3 linked regions of the Ovis aries genome follow. The protein of the gene in region 1 purifies or fractionates together with the protein of each later gene. This does not show direct contact. Links are inferred from orthologs where the notes say so. Each region holds a gene or a part of one and is shown in the gene's direction. Other genes may lie near its edges.

The links.
Region 2: the proteins of TRADD (region 1) and BIRC2 purify together in Homo sapiens (affinity purification with western blotting; 3 studies listed by BioGRID and IntAct, with this or other methods). This does not show direct contact. The link is inferred for Ovis aries from reciprocal best matches to the Homo sapiens genes TRADD and BIRC2.
Region 3: the proteins of TRADD (region 1) and CASP8 purify together in Homo sapiens (affinity purification with western blotting; 6 studies listed by BioGRID and IntAct, with this or other methods). This does not show direct contact. The link is inferred for Ovis aries from reciprocal best matches to the Homo sapiens genes TRADD and CASP8.

What each region holds. Positions count from the first base shown.
Region 1 is NC_056067.1:34,365,067-34,370,446, reverse strand, and holds the start of TRADD (tumor necrosis factor receptor type 1-associated DEATH domain protein), read left to right. Parts: upstream 1-1,678; 5' UTR 1,679-1,905; intron 1,906-2,000; 5' UTR 2,001-2,500; intron 2,501-5,380. Other genes in the region: FBXL8 (F-box/LRR-repeat protein 8), read right to left, coding at 1-63, 624-775. UniProt on the Homo sapiens protein: Adapter molecule for TNFRSF1A/TNFR1 that specifically associates with the cytoplasmic domain of activated TNFRSF1A/TNFR1 mediating its interaction with FADD.
Region 2 is NC_056068.1:6,029,355-6,034,178, reverse strand, and holds part of BIRC2 (baculoviral IAP repeat-containing protein 2), read left to right. Parts: intron 1-4,190; coding exon 4,191-4,445; intron 4,446-4,824. UniProt on the Homo sapiens protein: Multi-functional protein which regulates not only caspases and apoptosis, but also modulates inflammatory signaling and immunity, mitogenic kinase signaling, and cell proliferation, as well as cell invasion and metastasis.
Region 3 is NC_056055.1:203,629,575-203,634,398, forward strand, and holds part of CASP8 (caspase-8), read left to right. Parts: intron 1-2,161; coding exon 2,162-2,267; intron 2,268-3,550; coding exon 3,551-3,689; intron 3,690-3,795; coding exon 3,796-3,846; intron 3,847-4,422; coding exon 4,423-4,508; intron 4,509-4,824. UniProt on the Homo sapiens protein: Thiol protease that plays a key role in programmed cell death by acting as a molecular switch for apoptosis, necroptosis and pyroptosis, and is required to prevent tissue damage during embryonic development and adulthood.

The sequences.
Region 1 (5,380 bases):
TGAACGTGGTCAAGGCAGGCGGACAGATACGGCGGCAGCATGCCTTCCAGCTCACAATCGCAACTTGGGGGTAGAGTGGTGGAGAAAAGGCATGGCCGGCCAAGTCCCTCTCTCTGGGTTCCGGTTACCATCCCCACTTACTGCCCCCTACCCACACACCTCCCTGTTCCGACCGTGCCTGGTCACTCCTAGGTATGCTAGGAGGGAACCCTATCCCTTCCTTCAGACGCATCTGCCGCCAGTTGAAACCGTGCCAGAGAGAGCCAGGATATTTTAGAAAATGGGCTTTCTCATTGGTCTTTCAGGAGGCGGGGCGGGGCCTGTGGGCAGCCGCATTCACGTTCTGCCTGTCATTTCTCAATAGAGTGAGGAAGTAGTTAAATCTCTCTGCCTCAAATTTTATCTGTGCGATGGAGATAATAATAATACCCGTACATCACATAAAGTGTTTGTGAGGATTAGAAAGATTGGTATATGTAAGGCCCTTAGAACAATGGTTGGTACACAGTAGGTGGCCAATGTTAGAAATGACGCTTTTTAATATGAGGAAGAGTCACTGCATCTCCCCAACCTCTGACTCTACCAAGACTGGGAGAAGGTGGGAGGGGGAAGAACCTGCTCACCTGATGCTCGTGTCGTGCCACACAGCGCTGCAGGTGGCAGCGGCAGCCCAAGCTCTGCAGACCCTCGCTGCAGCAGCGCGGTCAGGCAGGGGCAGGTGGCGGAAGATGAGCACCAGCACCTCCTCCGGCAGCTGTTCTCCGGGCTCGGCCATGGCCAGGTGGGGGCCCCCCTGCAGGAAGGCCACAGTATTGAGGGGAACACCTGGAGCCTATGTGTAGAAATGCTTGGGGCCCAGGATCCGCTACATAAATTTGCAGAGCCCAGTGCAAAATGAAAATGTGGGTCTCTCTGTTTAAAATATTATCGAGGATTTCAAGACCGTGACAGCAGAGATGTAACCAAGCTATTAAACCAAGCCTGGGACTGTGTACACAGATCTCAGACCCATTAAATCTGCCTGGGATGCTGAGCATTTCTGATTCTTCCTTTAAACTATGTTCTCACTTGTTGAACAAATCCACGTTTTATAATATTCTATTAGGAGGAACTCAACCACGATCCACGCACCAGGTTGATAAAACCAAATACCCGGATTTGGGACGATGCTGTCAGATCTTTCTCCTAGTAACCAGTCTTCTCTGAGGAAGTTGGAGGGCCATTGCCCAGGCCCTGACTCCAGACCACCACGTCTTCCCCAACCCCTCGTCCCAGTCTCCCTCTAAAGCACCATCACGGCGGCCAGAGAGCCCGGACTAGTCTTACAGAGATCGCTGAACTGCTTGCCTCCCAACTTAGACCCTGAGTACTTAGGGAACGATGGAGCCCAAGCACCAAGGGCCATTGAAATGGCTTCTAAAAGGGCGCTGGACATTTGTTCACACTACAGATTTCATGGCCCCACCTACTAAATCAAGCTCTCCTCAAACAGTAGGGCCCAGGAATATGAATTTCAACACGTGCAGGTGTATGCCACAGGTCCCAAGTTGAGAAACCCGGTCCTAGTCCCACCCGTCACTAGAGAGTGACGGCAGGGTTAATAGGGCGGGAACATTAAGGAAAACTTTTAATTGGCAGGGTGCAGGAGCCAATCAGGAAGCAGAGGTGCGGGTGGGGCATAGCTGAATACGCAAGGAGAAGGGAGGCTCCTTCCTCCACTTCACTGGGGGAGACAACATGGATTCTTCCAATGAGAGGCCAGCGAGGCAGAGAAAATCTTGGGGTTGTGAGGGCCTGAGGGACTCTGGATTCAAATTCCGATCCTGAACCCCGAGCAGCCCAGGCGGTTTAGGCTCCACTGGAATTCCGCAGACCCACATCAGAGCGCGGCCTTTGTTGGAGACTGTGCGTCCTTTTTGAAGTTGCCAATTTTAGTTTAAGGTGCTTAAAGGTTTTCGTACAGAACGTTTGACGCCACTGGCCAATTTTCTATTTTCTAGGCTAACTGTCCCTGCTGGAATTTGTGTCTCGAGTACCGGGAGTTTCTGATACCCTCCGCCACGCTTGAACTTAGCACCCAGTTCAGAGTGTCAGGTAGAATCAGAGGAGCTCGACCAACCCAGAAGGGGACGCCCCCTCGTTGCTCCATCCGTTACCCGCTGGAGGAAGAGGATCGGCTCTCACCCTAGGGCCCTCCGGCCTCGTAAGAACCGCGAGTCCTCGAAGTCCCTTGCCGCGGGCAGTTCTGCCTGCTGTTTGACCTCAGGCGCCAGTGTCTTACCTGCGCAGCGGATCGGGTGGGCTTTGCCCAGAGGCTGGGTACTGGCCGCAGAGGACGGTGGCGGGAAGGAACCGCGGGGAACCCGGGGGGCGGGACGCCGGGACGGACGGGGCGGCTCGGACTGGGGTGCCGCCCCTGCGCTCCGCGCACACCCGGAAGCAGCGCGAGTCCAGTGGAAGCCGGCGGGCGTGGGAATCCAGGCCGGGCCCAGGCGGCCAGGTTAGTGCAGAGGGTGGGTGGGCTTTCCGTTGCGGGCAGGAGCCGAGGCGGATCCTGGCTCAGGAGCACGGGCGCGGTGCGGTTGTCACCCGCGGCTGCTCGGGTCAGGTGGTGGTGGTGGTGGCCTATTGGGCTGTTTCCGTTGGAGGCTGGAGCGAGGGTACCGACGCTGACCCCTGCGAGTGCCTTGTCCCATAGGGGCTTTCAAGGGGCGGCAGGGCCCTGTGGGTGAGAGGACGGGGTGGTGCTGGTTCTGAACAGACATTCGAGAGAAACCCCTTGCCGGTTAGAGCCAGTAGCAAGCGCGAAACTCCAGCAGGAGGGTGGGCTAGTGGGAGGCCGGAGAGCTCCCCTCTAGAGCTCTGAGAGGCTCTGCTTGAGTAGATGCTGGGACTAGCAGCTTTTCAATCCTTGAGAGGCCACGCCTGCAGGTCGTCACCGCCTAGCCGGCCAGAAGCGGAGCTACTCAGGACAGTTACTGTTCAGTCGCTAAGTCGTGTCCAACTCTTTGCGACCCCGTGGATTGTAGCACGCCAGGCTTCCCTGTCCTTCACCATCTCTCAGAGTTTCCTCAAACTCATGTCCACTGAGTCAGTGATGCCATCCAACCATCTCATCTTCTATCAGTGTTAATGGAGCGCTGCGCCGGCTGGCTACCGATGGCAGGGGCATATTTTCCTGAGTCGGTACCCATGTGTCCCTTACGATCTCAGCCCAACTAAGGGTTCCCAGGACCCCAGCGAGCCCCGCTGGTAGAGAGGCGGACTCCAGGTGGGTGGGGCGCGGGGCTTCCCGAGGAGGGGCTTCTGTGAAGGGACACAGTTCTCAAGGGGGCTTAGCGAGCCAAGGCCCGCCTCTCACCCCGCCCCACCCCTGCCACTTCTCAACAGTTATCAGGCTGTTTGACTTCTACAGTCCTAGAGAGTATGACAGAGATTCCCCCTCCTCTTGGTTTGCAGTGTCCTGCAGGCTGGCCAGTTGGGCAGAGGACTGTCTTGTCCTGCCCTTACTTACCCACCCTATGGGGTCAGCACCCTCCAGTCAAGGGGCTAAACAGATGCGAAAGAGAAAATGTTTTGGGGCCAGGTTCCCACTTCTCCACTCTGGGCCAATACCCCAGGACTTCCCACTTGTCTCTCTACTGCTCTTGGTCCCACTTGTCATCTACCCTGTTTTTGTTTTGTTTTGCTTTTTAAGAAAAACAAATATGCCTTTTTAATACAAAAGAAATGTCTCTATTTTGCATAAAGTAGAATATTTAAATGAAAATAAAAACAACCCCAATCTCCCCCTTCCCCAAGACAAATAAACAATGCTAATTTTTTTGTTAATTTCTATTGTTTTGGATAAACACACAAGTATTAGTAAGTTTTCTACCAAAAGATTATGGGGGGAGCTGGTCAAAAGATATGTTCCCTGTGCTCAAACTCAGGGTAGGGTTATCAGGTATCATTCTTCCTGCCAGGTCTGGGTGAAAGTGGAGGGCGCCATTTCTCTTTTCCTTTATTACTATTTTTTTAAATTTGCCAGCTGTACCTCACAGCTTGAGGGATCTTAGTTCCCTGACCAGGGATTGAACCCAGGCCCTTGGCAGTGAAAGCACCGAGTCCTAACCACCGGACCACCAGGGAATTCCCTTGAACCCATTTTTCTAGGAAGAGGGTATAATGTTGCCTCGGGTAAGGTCTGAAGGAAGAGGCAGGGCAGTTCTCCACCTGTCGCTCATAGTGCTGTAGCTGGGAGGCAACTTTCAGGCCAGTGCCATGGCTCCCTGACTGAGAGTTTTGCTCCTTGATCTAGAGCTAGGATTTTGTTGAAGATAGATTGAGGAGATGCTAATGCCAAGGGCCCTGACTGTGTTTAGACAGAGAAGGAGCCTGTATCAGAACAACTTGAACGGCATCAGACAAGAGACTAAAAGACTTGAGACTAAAAAGGAATGATTTAATTCACATAACAGAAAAGTCCAAGATGCACCTAGAGCCACGGACATGGTGTGGTTAGGGGTACACTTCTTCATCTCTTGGCTCTGTAGCTTTCTATGCCAGTTTCATTTTCAGTCAGGCTGAGAACAGCAAAGGAGACCTTCCCTTCCTTCTAGCTCAGCTTAAAGATAGGAAAGGGAAACTTGTTCCTCTTTCCTATTGGGTTAGTTGCTAAGTCGTGTGTGACAGTCCACAGACTAGCCACCAGGCTCCTTCCATGGGATTCTCCAGGCATGAATACTGGAGTGGGTTGCCATTTCCTTCTCCAGGGGATCTTCCCAACTCAGGGATTGAACCCAGGTCTCCTGCATTGAAGGCAGACACTTTACTGACTGAGCCACCAGGGAAGCCCAAATTGCAGGTTGATTCTGATAGGTCCAATAGGAATCCTATGCCCAACCCAGAACAAACCATTTCAGGAAGGTGAATGGAAGATCCAGATTGGCTAGGCTGGACGTCAGGAGCAAGGTTGGTCCTTCCAACAGGCCTGTGGATTGAGAAAAGGGTAGAGGGAAGTCCCCAGAGGTCAGTCAGGACTGTGGTAGAGAATCTAGGCAGGTGCAAACTACAGGTGTCCTTTGAAGTGAAACCAGGAGGTACAGCAGGAATGCCTGAGAAGAAACCTAAGTGGGGGGCTCTGGGATCCCTGCTGCCACCGCTGCATCGCTTGTTACATGTCCGACTCTGTGCGACCCCAGAGACGGCAGCCCACCAGGCTCCCCCGTCCCTGGGATCCTCCAGGCAAGAACGCTGGAGTGGGTTGCCATTTCCTTCTCCAATGCATGAAAATGAAAAGTGAAAGTGAAGTCACTCAGTCGTGTCAGACTCTTCGCGACCCCATGGACTGCAGCCTACCAGGCTCCTCTGTCCATGGGAGTTTCCAGGCAAGAGTACT
Region 2 (4,824 bases), on another chromosome or scaffold:
AATTAATTTGGCTTTATTTCAGTGTACAGTCATTAAAAGAAAAGAAATAGAAACAGTAAGCAGAAATAATAGCATATACATCTCTGCTGCTGCTGCTGCTAAGTCGCTTCAGTTGTGTCCGACTCTGTGCGACCCCACAGACGGCAGCCCATTGGGCTCCGCCATCCCTGGGATTCTCCAGGCAAGAACACTGGAGTGGGTTGCCGTTTCCTTGTCCAATGCATGAAAGTGAAAAGTGAAAGTGAAGTCACTCAGTCGTGTCTGACTCAGCAACCCCATGGACTGCAGCCTACCAGGCTCCTCAATCCATGGTAGTTTCCAGGCAAGAGTACTGGAGTGGGATGCCATTGCCTTCTCCAATATACATCTCTACATTGGGCCAATACCCACGTTAATCTAGTATTGAACAGTGCTGGAAGTCCCATGTAACAGCAGTCTAGAGTCCTAACTGGGAAAGGGTCCTGTCAGTACATCCACCACACAGGCCAGACTTCAGATTGCAGCTTTGGGAGGTCCTGCTTATGATCCTAGGCCACAAACTGATAACAGTTTGCATGCAAAAATGCAGTTCAGGTTTTTCTTTAACTTTTACAATGCTGTTTGTTTCATCTTGTGAGTCATAAAGTTCTTTAGACTCTGGGGGCCTGAGTAGGTTCCCGCGGCTTAAGAAATTCTAAGGCTGGATTTCCCTAGTGGTCCAGTAGTTAAGAATCAACCAGCTAATGCAGGGACACCAGTTCAATCCCTGGTCTGGGAAGATTCCACATGCTGCAGAGCAGTTAAGCCCATATGCTATAGCTACTGAGCCCGTGCGAAACCTGCACATTGCAACTAGAGAAAGCCTGTGCAGCAAACAGACCCAGTGCAACCAAAAACAAATAAATGAATAAATAAATAATCAAACATAAAGTACTCATTAAAAAAAAATCCAAGACCCACTCCCTTTCTTACCTGAAGTGCTGCTTGACTTGCTGGTAATGATTGATGTTCATGCATGCAGGCAGGCATGTAGTCCAGGCAAGGTTAGAAGTCGGTTAGAGGTATGCTCCCCTACTTCTGAAGCCTGAACAAGACTACCTTCATTTTTAATTTTCCAGTGTTCTTGGTTGGCATTTGTTTTTCTTTTAGCACTTGGATATATTAAGTCTTTCTCTCCTAGCCTGGAAGGTTTCTGCAGAGAAATGTGCTGATAGCCTTAGGGGGTTCCCTTGTATGTAATAATTCATTTTTTCCTTGCTGCTTTCAAAATGCTTTGTCTTTTTATTTTTAATATTTTGACTATAATGTGTCTTGGAATAATCTCTGGCCTGATCTTGCTTGGGGTTCTCTGTACTTGCTATTTCTGGATATCCGTATCTCTCCCAAGATTTGGGAACTGAAGTTTTAAGCTGTTATTTCTTGAAGTAAACTTTCTACCCCTTTTTTCTGTCTTCTGGGATTCCTGTGATGTTCATCTGCTTGGTGGTGCCCTGTAATTCATGTGGTCTTCCGTCACTCTTTTTTATTCTCTTTTTGTTCCTATAACTGGCTAATTTCAAATGATCTCCGTTTGGGTTCTCATTCTTTTTTTCTGCATGATCAAGTCTGTTGAATTTCTCTATTGATTTTTAGTTCTGTGCTTTTATTCTTCAGCTCCAGGTTTTCTGTTTGATTCTTTTTTCTTTCTTTTGATTAAACTTCTGATTTTGGTTTCTATTTCTTGTTTAAACTTCAGATTTTGTTCATGCATTGTTATTTTCATTTCATTTAGTTGTTTACCGTTCTCTTGAATTTTATTGAGTTTCTTTAAGGTGACTGTTGAGTTCATTGTGAGACATCATAAATCTTCATTTCTTTGAGGTCAGTCTGGATGTTTATTAGTTTCTTTTGATGGTGTTGTATGTGCCTGATTTATATATTTATATGCTATATGTAGCCTGGCCATAGTATCTGTACATTTGAGGGAGCAAACACCATTTCCAGTTTTTACTGATTGGTCTTGCCAGGTGAGGCCCTTCTTCTGTCAATTTTGATGGATACAGAGCTGTTTTGGGGTCTGTTGCTGGGACCATAGTCAGGAATTCAAGCACCTGGGTACAAGCCAGTCTTCTCAAAATCGCTCTCCTTGGTTTTGGAATACACAAGGCTTTCAGAATCTTATATCTCAATCACAGAGCCTCTCACAAAGGCACTTTGGTCCTTGGATGGATTCCAAATTGTTGTTGAGTAGGGATCCAGATGGGAGACATCTTAATTAGCAATCTTGCTATCATTACTCTCTTGTATCCTTCTTAAGGTATCGTCCTCACTTGGCTTCCTGGACACCACATTGTTGATTTTCCCATTACCCTGGTTGATCATGAACAATTTCCTTTGGTGGGTACTCCTTTTTCAAACCTCTTAAGTGATGGAGTGCCCCTCAACATTCAGCCCAAAGGTAGTTCTCCATTTCCTGAGCTACAGACTAGCATGTTCAACCACCTGTTTAAATCTCTGCTTGTTTATAATGGATTTCTCAAGAGTTATAGGACCAGAGCAAACATTTTCTCCCTGCCCTTCGTACCTCAGATGTGCTTCTTCTCTGGTCTTCCCTGCTCAGTTAATGGTCTCCACTTGCTGAGGTTGACTTAAGTTAGACATCATCCCTGATTCCTCCTTTTACTTTGTATATTTAAGCTATTAAAAGTCCTTTCATCTCTATCTTTATAATATGTCCCAAATCTTACCACTTCTCTTCATCGTCACCACTGTTAACCTGATTCAAGCTTCTATCACCTTTTGTCATAAAATCCTAACAGGTCTCCCTGATTCCATTTTACCTCACTAAAGTTTATCACAGAGCTGCCAGAATCATTTTTTGGAAAAAACAAATCAGGTTTTATCAGTCCTAGAATATTCTAGCAGACTTAAAATATAAACTCCTCACAAGGCTTTACATGATCTAGGCCTCACCCTACTCTCTGACCTGCTCTCTGACTCTGCACTGCCTTACTATTTCTTGAATAATATCAAGCTTTCCTCTTGACTTGAGGCTTTTATACTCGCTGTTCTCTTTGCCTGAAAGACTTCAGATATTCTCACACTCATTCCTTATCATAGAGTTGTTTGCTCTGCTGTTACCCATTCAGACAGGGTTCCACATACATTTGAGCAAGGGAGCACACACACAGTGTATATTTACGTTTATTATACAACAGTTTTCCAGCAGATGGCAGTAAAGTATCTTGAAGAATGATGTCTTTTTGTAATTTTCACAAAAGTGCCACATTGGCTGGCATAGACCCTGTTATCAGAAAATGCCTCTCTGATCACCCTGAATGTCCTCCTGCTGCTTCCTAGTTTGTCTTAACACCTTATTCTGCTTTATTTTCTTCAGAATATGTGTTGCTATCTGAAGTCATTATTTTAATTCTTTAATCACATTTTTTAAAATCACGTTTTTAGATGTATTCTGTATGAATTAGTCTTCCACTTTACTGTTCTTCCCACTTGACTGTTCTTCCCATCTTTGTTTTTTCTGCTTCATATATCCACCTCTTCAGGTCCTGTCTATCCTTCAGGTTCAGACTCTTGTGTGATCTTTTTCATTAAGTCTTTGTTTATTTCTCCCACTTTCCTAGCTGAATTGAGATTATTCTCACTTCTAAATTTGTGTAGCATCTCAGTTTCCAAAAATAAACTCTGTACAACGGAGTCATTTGAGGAATTTTTAGGATATTCTTATGTTCCATCCCTAAAGACTCTTAACTAAGTAGGTCTAAGGTGTGGGAATTGGTATTTTTTTAGAGTACAGCCTGTTACTGGGCTTCCTTGGTGGCTCAGTGGTAAAGAACCTGCCTGCCAATGCAGGAGTCATGGGTTCGATCCCTGGGTTGGGAATATCCCCTGGAGAAGGAAATGGCAGCCCTCTCCAGTATTTTTGCCTGGGAATTCCTATGGGCAGAGGAGCTTGGTGGGCTATCGTCCATGGGGTCACAGAAGAGTCAGACACAACTTAGCAACTGAACAACAATAAGAGCAGCCTGTAACTGCACTCTCATTTGATCCTTATCAGGTTCAGACTTTGGTTGGAGTTATAGGTAACGTGCATACAGCTCATCTCCATTACCAGGATATAATCACCCCTAAAGTAAAGATTATATCAGAGTCATTATTGTTCCCTATATTTTTATATTTATGGAATTTACCCAAATATATATCTTTTAAAATAGTTGTTCAGTTTGGACCTGGAGAAAGTTCTTCAGACGATGCAGTCATGATGAATACACCTGTGGTTAAAGCTGCCTTGGAAATGGGCTTTAGTAGAAGCCTGGTAAAACGGACAGTTCAGAGTAAAATCCTAACAACTGGAGAGAATTACAAAACAGTTAATGATATTGTGTCAGCACTTCTCAATGCTGAAGATGAGAAAAGAGAAGAAGAGGAGGAGGAAGAGAAGGAAAGACAAACTGAAGAAACAGCATCAGGTATTTGGGAATGTTAGTCCCCTGGATTATTTCCACTGAGGTCTCATAGGATTGTCTCACGTGTTGCAGCACAGTGAGTATCCCTGTCTCTCCACTAACTGGTGGCAGCCAGCAGTCATTTCCAAACCTCACATCCCCTTCACTGTGAGCAATGTATTACCTTAGTTGAGAATCACTGACTACAGTTTTTTTTGTTTTTGAACATTTTTTTTCCTCCCCAAGAAGATCCCTGATTTATGCTAATCAGAGGATTTTGTCATAATTTCTTTCTTGAGCTATATTGCCTTTCTTCCTCTTACATTAACAGATTTAAACTGTTTAGAAAAAGTAAGATTTTAAAGCTGGGGGCCTGTCTCATTTCTACTTATTTTCTTAAAGT
Region 3 (4,824 bases), on another chromosome or scaffold:
TGAAACATTACCAATAGGTACATGTGCTAACTGCTTCAGTCATGTCCGACTCTTTGTGACCCTATGGACTGTAGCCCTCTAGGCTCGTCTGTCCATGGGGATTCTCCAGGCAAGAATACTGGAGTGGGTTGTCATTTCCTCCTCCAGGGGATCTTCCCAACACAAGGATCGAACCTGTGTCTCTTATGTCTCCTGTATTGGCAGGCGGGTCCTTTACCACTAGCACCACCTGGGAAGCCACTGAAACTCAAATAGCCATGCTTTAAGCATTCTAATTCTCCTTTCTGTTACATGTCTGTTATCTTGATGCCTCTGCTTTGCTGATGTTCATACCATGCACTCAACTTTGCCTATTATTAAATAAAGCATTGCAGCTCCCCACTCGAGAACCCCTCCCATCTACTTGTGGATGACTATGAAATTCTCCACAGGGTTTTAGGCTTTTATTATACACTTTAAGGCTTGTGTTACTAAGTTCTTCAGTGAGGTGTGTGCTGCCAGTCATTCTGGATTGGCCAGGCTGGACCCCCACAATAATTGTGTGTGTTTTTTTTTTTAATGGTATAAGATAACCATTTAAAAAAAAAAATGTTCATCTATTAACTTACTAACGGTTGTGCTGGGTGTGTCTTCAGTTCTGCGCCTGGGCTTTCTCTAGTTGTGGCGAGTAGGGGTCACTCTGTCTTGCAGTGCACGGACTTCTCATTGTGGTAGCTTCTCTTTTGTGGAATGCCAGCTCTAGGCATGTGGGCTTCAGTTGTTGCAAGACTCTGGCTTGGTTGTTTCACTGCACATGCTTAGTTGCTCCACAGCAAGTGGAATCTTCCCCAGCCAGGTATAGAACTCGTGCTCCCTGCATTGGCAGGTGGATTCTTACCCACTGTTCCACCAGAGAAGTCTTAAGATAATCATTTCTAATCTATCCCTGGCCATACAGTGGAAACACCCGCTGTAATAACCAATCATCCTAAAGGTTAAACAGCTTCCACAATTTCACTTCATAAGCCAGTCTGCAATACCCAATGACTGCTTAATCCCCATGACTCCAGATACTGTCAGAAGAACGGCACTGGCTTGGGCTGTCTGTCCTGCCAAAGGCTTAACACAGTAGAGAAATCATTTTTCTAATTGTTCTGGAGCCTATGGGCCTGAACTTGAGGTGTTAACATGACGGGTTCCCTTTTGGAGGCTCTAAGGGAGAAAGTTCCCTCTTCTTTTAAAGACACCAACCATCGGGTTAGGACCACCTTAAGCCAGTCTACAGATGGACAAGGTAATGAGGGTATGAGGGGCCCAAATTCAAAGGGTGAGGGGCTGGGCAACTGGGTATGTTCGGAGAGGAATGGGGAGATGGTGGTAAGGCATGGCCAGAGATGAAGAGGCAGACTAGGCTCAGTTCACAAAAGCCTGTGTTCCAAGAGGAGGTGTTTGGCCTTCCTATTGAAGGGAGTGGCTGGGAGAACACTGACTAGTTTTAATTGAATAATTAAAACTGATGTGTGTTTTGAAAAGAATAATATCCAAAATCAAAGCTTTTCTTTCTTTCTGTGCAACAAGATCTTAATCCTATAGCGAAGGACAAGGGAAAAACACAATTCACTCAACTGATATTAACTGAAAGTTAAAATTGGGGAACTTTTAAAATTTTTAATTAAAAATTAAAAATATTTATTTAGTTATTTTGGCTGTGCTGGGTCTTCATTGCTGCACACAGGCTTTCTCTAGTTGCAGAGAGCACAGGCTACTCTTCGTTATGGTACACTGAACCTGGGGCTTGTGGGCTTCAGTAGTTGCAACTCTTGGGCCCTAGAGCATGGGCTAAGTAATCGTGGCACACAGACTTAGTTACCCTGCAGCATGTGGGATCTTCCTGGACCAGAGATTGAACCTGTGTCCCCTGCATGAGCAGGTGGATTCTTAACCACTAAACCACCAAGGAAGTCCCTGGGGAATTTAAATTCCATTAAGAGTGGGACAGTTGAGCTTGAGCCATGAGTCTTCAGTGTCACAACACGAGCCTCTTTCCAAGGACTCAGCTCATAAATCGTGTCATTAGCTGGTTTTATTTTAAAGGGAGGCCAGAGGACCAAGTCCACGTGACTCCATATATCAGATGGGAAATAATTGAAGAAAGTTAGAGTGTTTCTGTTTCCCCCTATAGGATCCTGCTTTTCCAGATTTCAGAAGATGTGAACAAAGTGGAATTGAAGGACTTTAAGTTTTTTTTGAGCCAGGAGATTGCCAAATGTAAGCTGGATGATGACATGGTAAGACCTGGTGTCTCACCCGAGGTGTAGCCCTGACGGTGAGTCAGCTGGTGGGGATTTCTGAGACTAAAGAGAGCTCTTGTCAGTAAAAGCAACCGGAATTCTCACTTTTTAACCAAGGGAGAAGAATGCTGTCTGGAATGAATGCTGTAGATATGATGCCTTTGTATAATATAAGGTGCTGCTCACATTAATTATCAGGGACAAGACAGAGTGAGGAACAAAGGCTGGTTGTGGGAGCCCAGGTCAGTGTGGGGGCCTGCAGAGCCAGGAGAGCCACTGGTGGGCCTGAGACCATTTCCCCACTTCTGCAGTCTCTGAAAAACCTGGGACCTGGAACTCTGTGTGTGTGTGTGTGTGTGTGTGTGTGTGTGTGTGTGTGTGTTATGGTGTCTGTACGTATGTGTGTCTGTACTGTGATGTAACGCTGTATGTGTGGGTCTGTGTGTGTGTGGTATGGCATGTCTATATGTATGTGTGTCTGTGCTGCGATGTAATGCTGTATGTGTGTGTGTGTGTCTGTGTGTGTGTATGGTATGGTGTGTCTGTACGTATGTGTGTCTGTGCTGTGGTGTAATGCTGTATGTGTGTGTGTTTGTGTGTGTGTGTGTGTGTGTGTGTATGGTATGGTGTGTCTGTACGTATGTGTGTCTGTGCTGTGGTGTAATGCTGTATGTGTGTGTGTTTGTGTGTGTATGTGTGTATGGTATGGTGTGTCTGTACGTATGTGTGTCTGTGCTGTGGTGTAATGCTGTATGTGTGTGTGTTTGTGTGTGTGTGTGTGTGTGTATATGGTATGGTGTGTCTGTACGTATGTGTGTCTGTGCTGTGGTGTAATGCTGTATGTGTGTGTGTTTGTCTGTGTGTGCGTGTTGCAGTGCACTGGTCACTGAGCTGTTGTTGAGGACCCTCAACAGCCTGGAGGTGCGTGGGTGCCAGAGGCAATGTAGGGTGTGAGGCCGTTCCCAGGGCTGTTGCCATGTGCCTGGGCTGCTTCACTGTCTTCACATAAAAGTGTCCATAGATGGTTGGGCCTGGGGACTGGGTGACATCTGAGGTGACTTCTTCTCTGTCTTATTTCTGTCTTTTTGGGCCAGAAAACATGAATTCCCTCCCTGATAGTTTATTGATTGACTTTATAAGACCAGGATGTCCACTTAAGAGGATCAGCTTGGGAAGCTAGGTGGGTGTCTAATTTGGAGGAAGTGGAAATTAAAAAAAAAATAATCTAAAAGTCAGTAAAACTCCATCCTGTTTTCTAACTTGATTTCTCCTCCCTCTAGACTTTGCTTGATATTTTCGTGGAGATGGAGAAGAGGACCATCCTAGGGGAAAATAACTTGGACACCCTGAAAAGAATCTGTGAGCAGGTCAACAAGAGCTTGCTGAAGAAAATCTATGATTATGAAGAATTAAGAAAAGGTATAAATAACCTGAGAGCTGTGAATCAGCAAAATGTAGTCTTAAATTGACAGGTGCTTCTATGTCACAACTGTTTCTAATCAAATATGTGTATGTTTCTTTTAAGATTCAGAGAGAATAATGAGACTTGAAAGAGATCCAGATGAATTTTCAAATGGTAATACTTGCAGATATGTTTTCAAGGTCTATTTAGTTAATTTACTTCCCAGGTGGCTCTAGTGGTAAATAAGCCACCTGCCAATGGAGGAGATGCAAGAGTTGTGGGTTCAATGTCTGGGTCGGGAAGAACCCACGGAGAAGGAAATGGCAACCCACTCGAGTATTCTTACCTGGAAAACCCCATGGACCGAGGAGCCTGGCAGGCTACAGTCCACAGGGTCTCAAAGAGTCAGACAATGACTAAACTACAAGCCTCATTGTCTCCTCTCTACAACCTTTACCACATCTGCATCTTAATGGACCTGCTCTCCTAATAGCGGTGACTACTAGTCACCTTCTCTGCACATGGGAAGATGTAAAAGGAATTGTCAAAAGGCAGAGACCCTGTAACCTCAGGCTGGCAAGTTTGAAATACAGGCAGAATGAGTCAGCAGTAAGATTTTCCCTTATTCTGTGGACTGCAGTATATTATGTTCAAGGCAGTCAGTGAATTTACATTTTAAAAGGGACCTTATGTTGTCCTGGGTGCCACCTCTTTCTTAACCAATATCTTCCCTGTCACATTTCATTCCAGATATGTCACAATCGCTTCCAGAGGAGGGCTCCTCTGAGATGCTGGCCATGTCAGACTCTCCAGGAGAACAGGGCAGTGAGTTGCAGGTACCAGGAAATCCCCATTTCTTTCCCTTTTGTGCTGCAGATTCTAGTTACTGTGTTCCTGAGCTTTTTTTTTTTTTTTTCAAATAAACTAATAAGGGACAGAAACTTAATGAAGTGTTGAGAACTATAGAAAAATTCCACAAAAGCACAAGTTTAAAATGTGACTTTGGAATTTGGTAAAGGTGATCTTCTTTGGTTTCCCGTGTGTTAAATGTCTAGTTTAAAACCAAAGATGTTGGAAGAGTTGGAGGACAGAGGAGTAGGGAGCCTCTAACCTGATCCCTTTAGCAGCTGCCTCAGCCTAAATGGGAGGGGG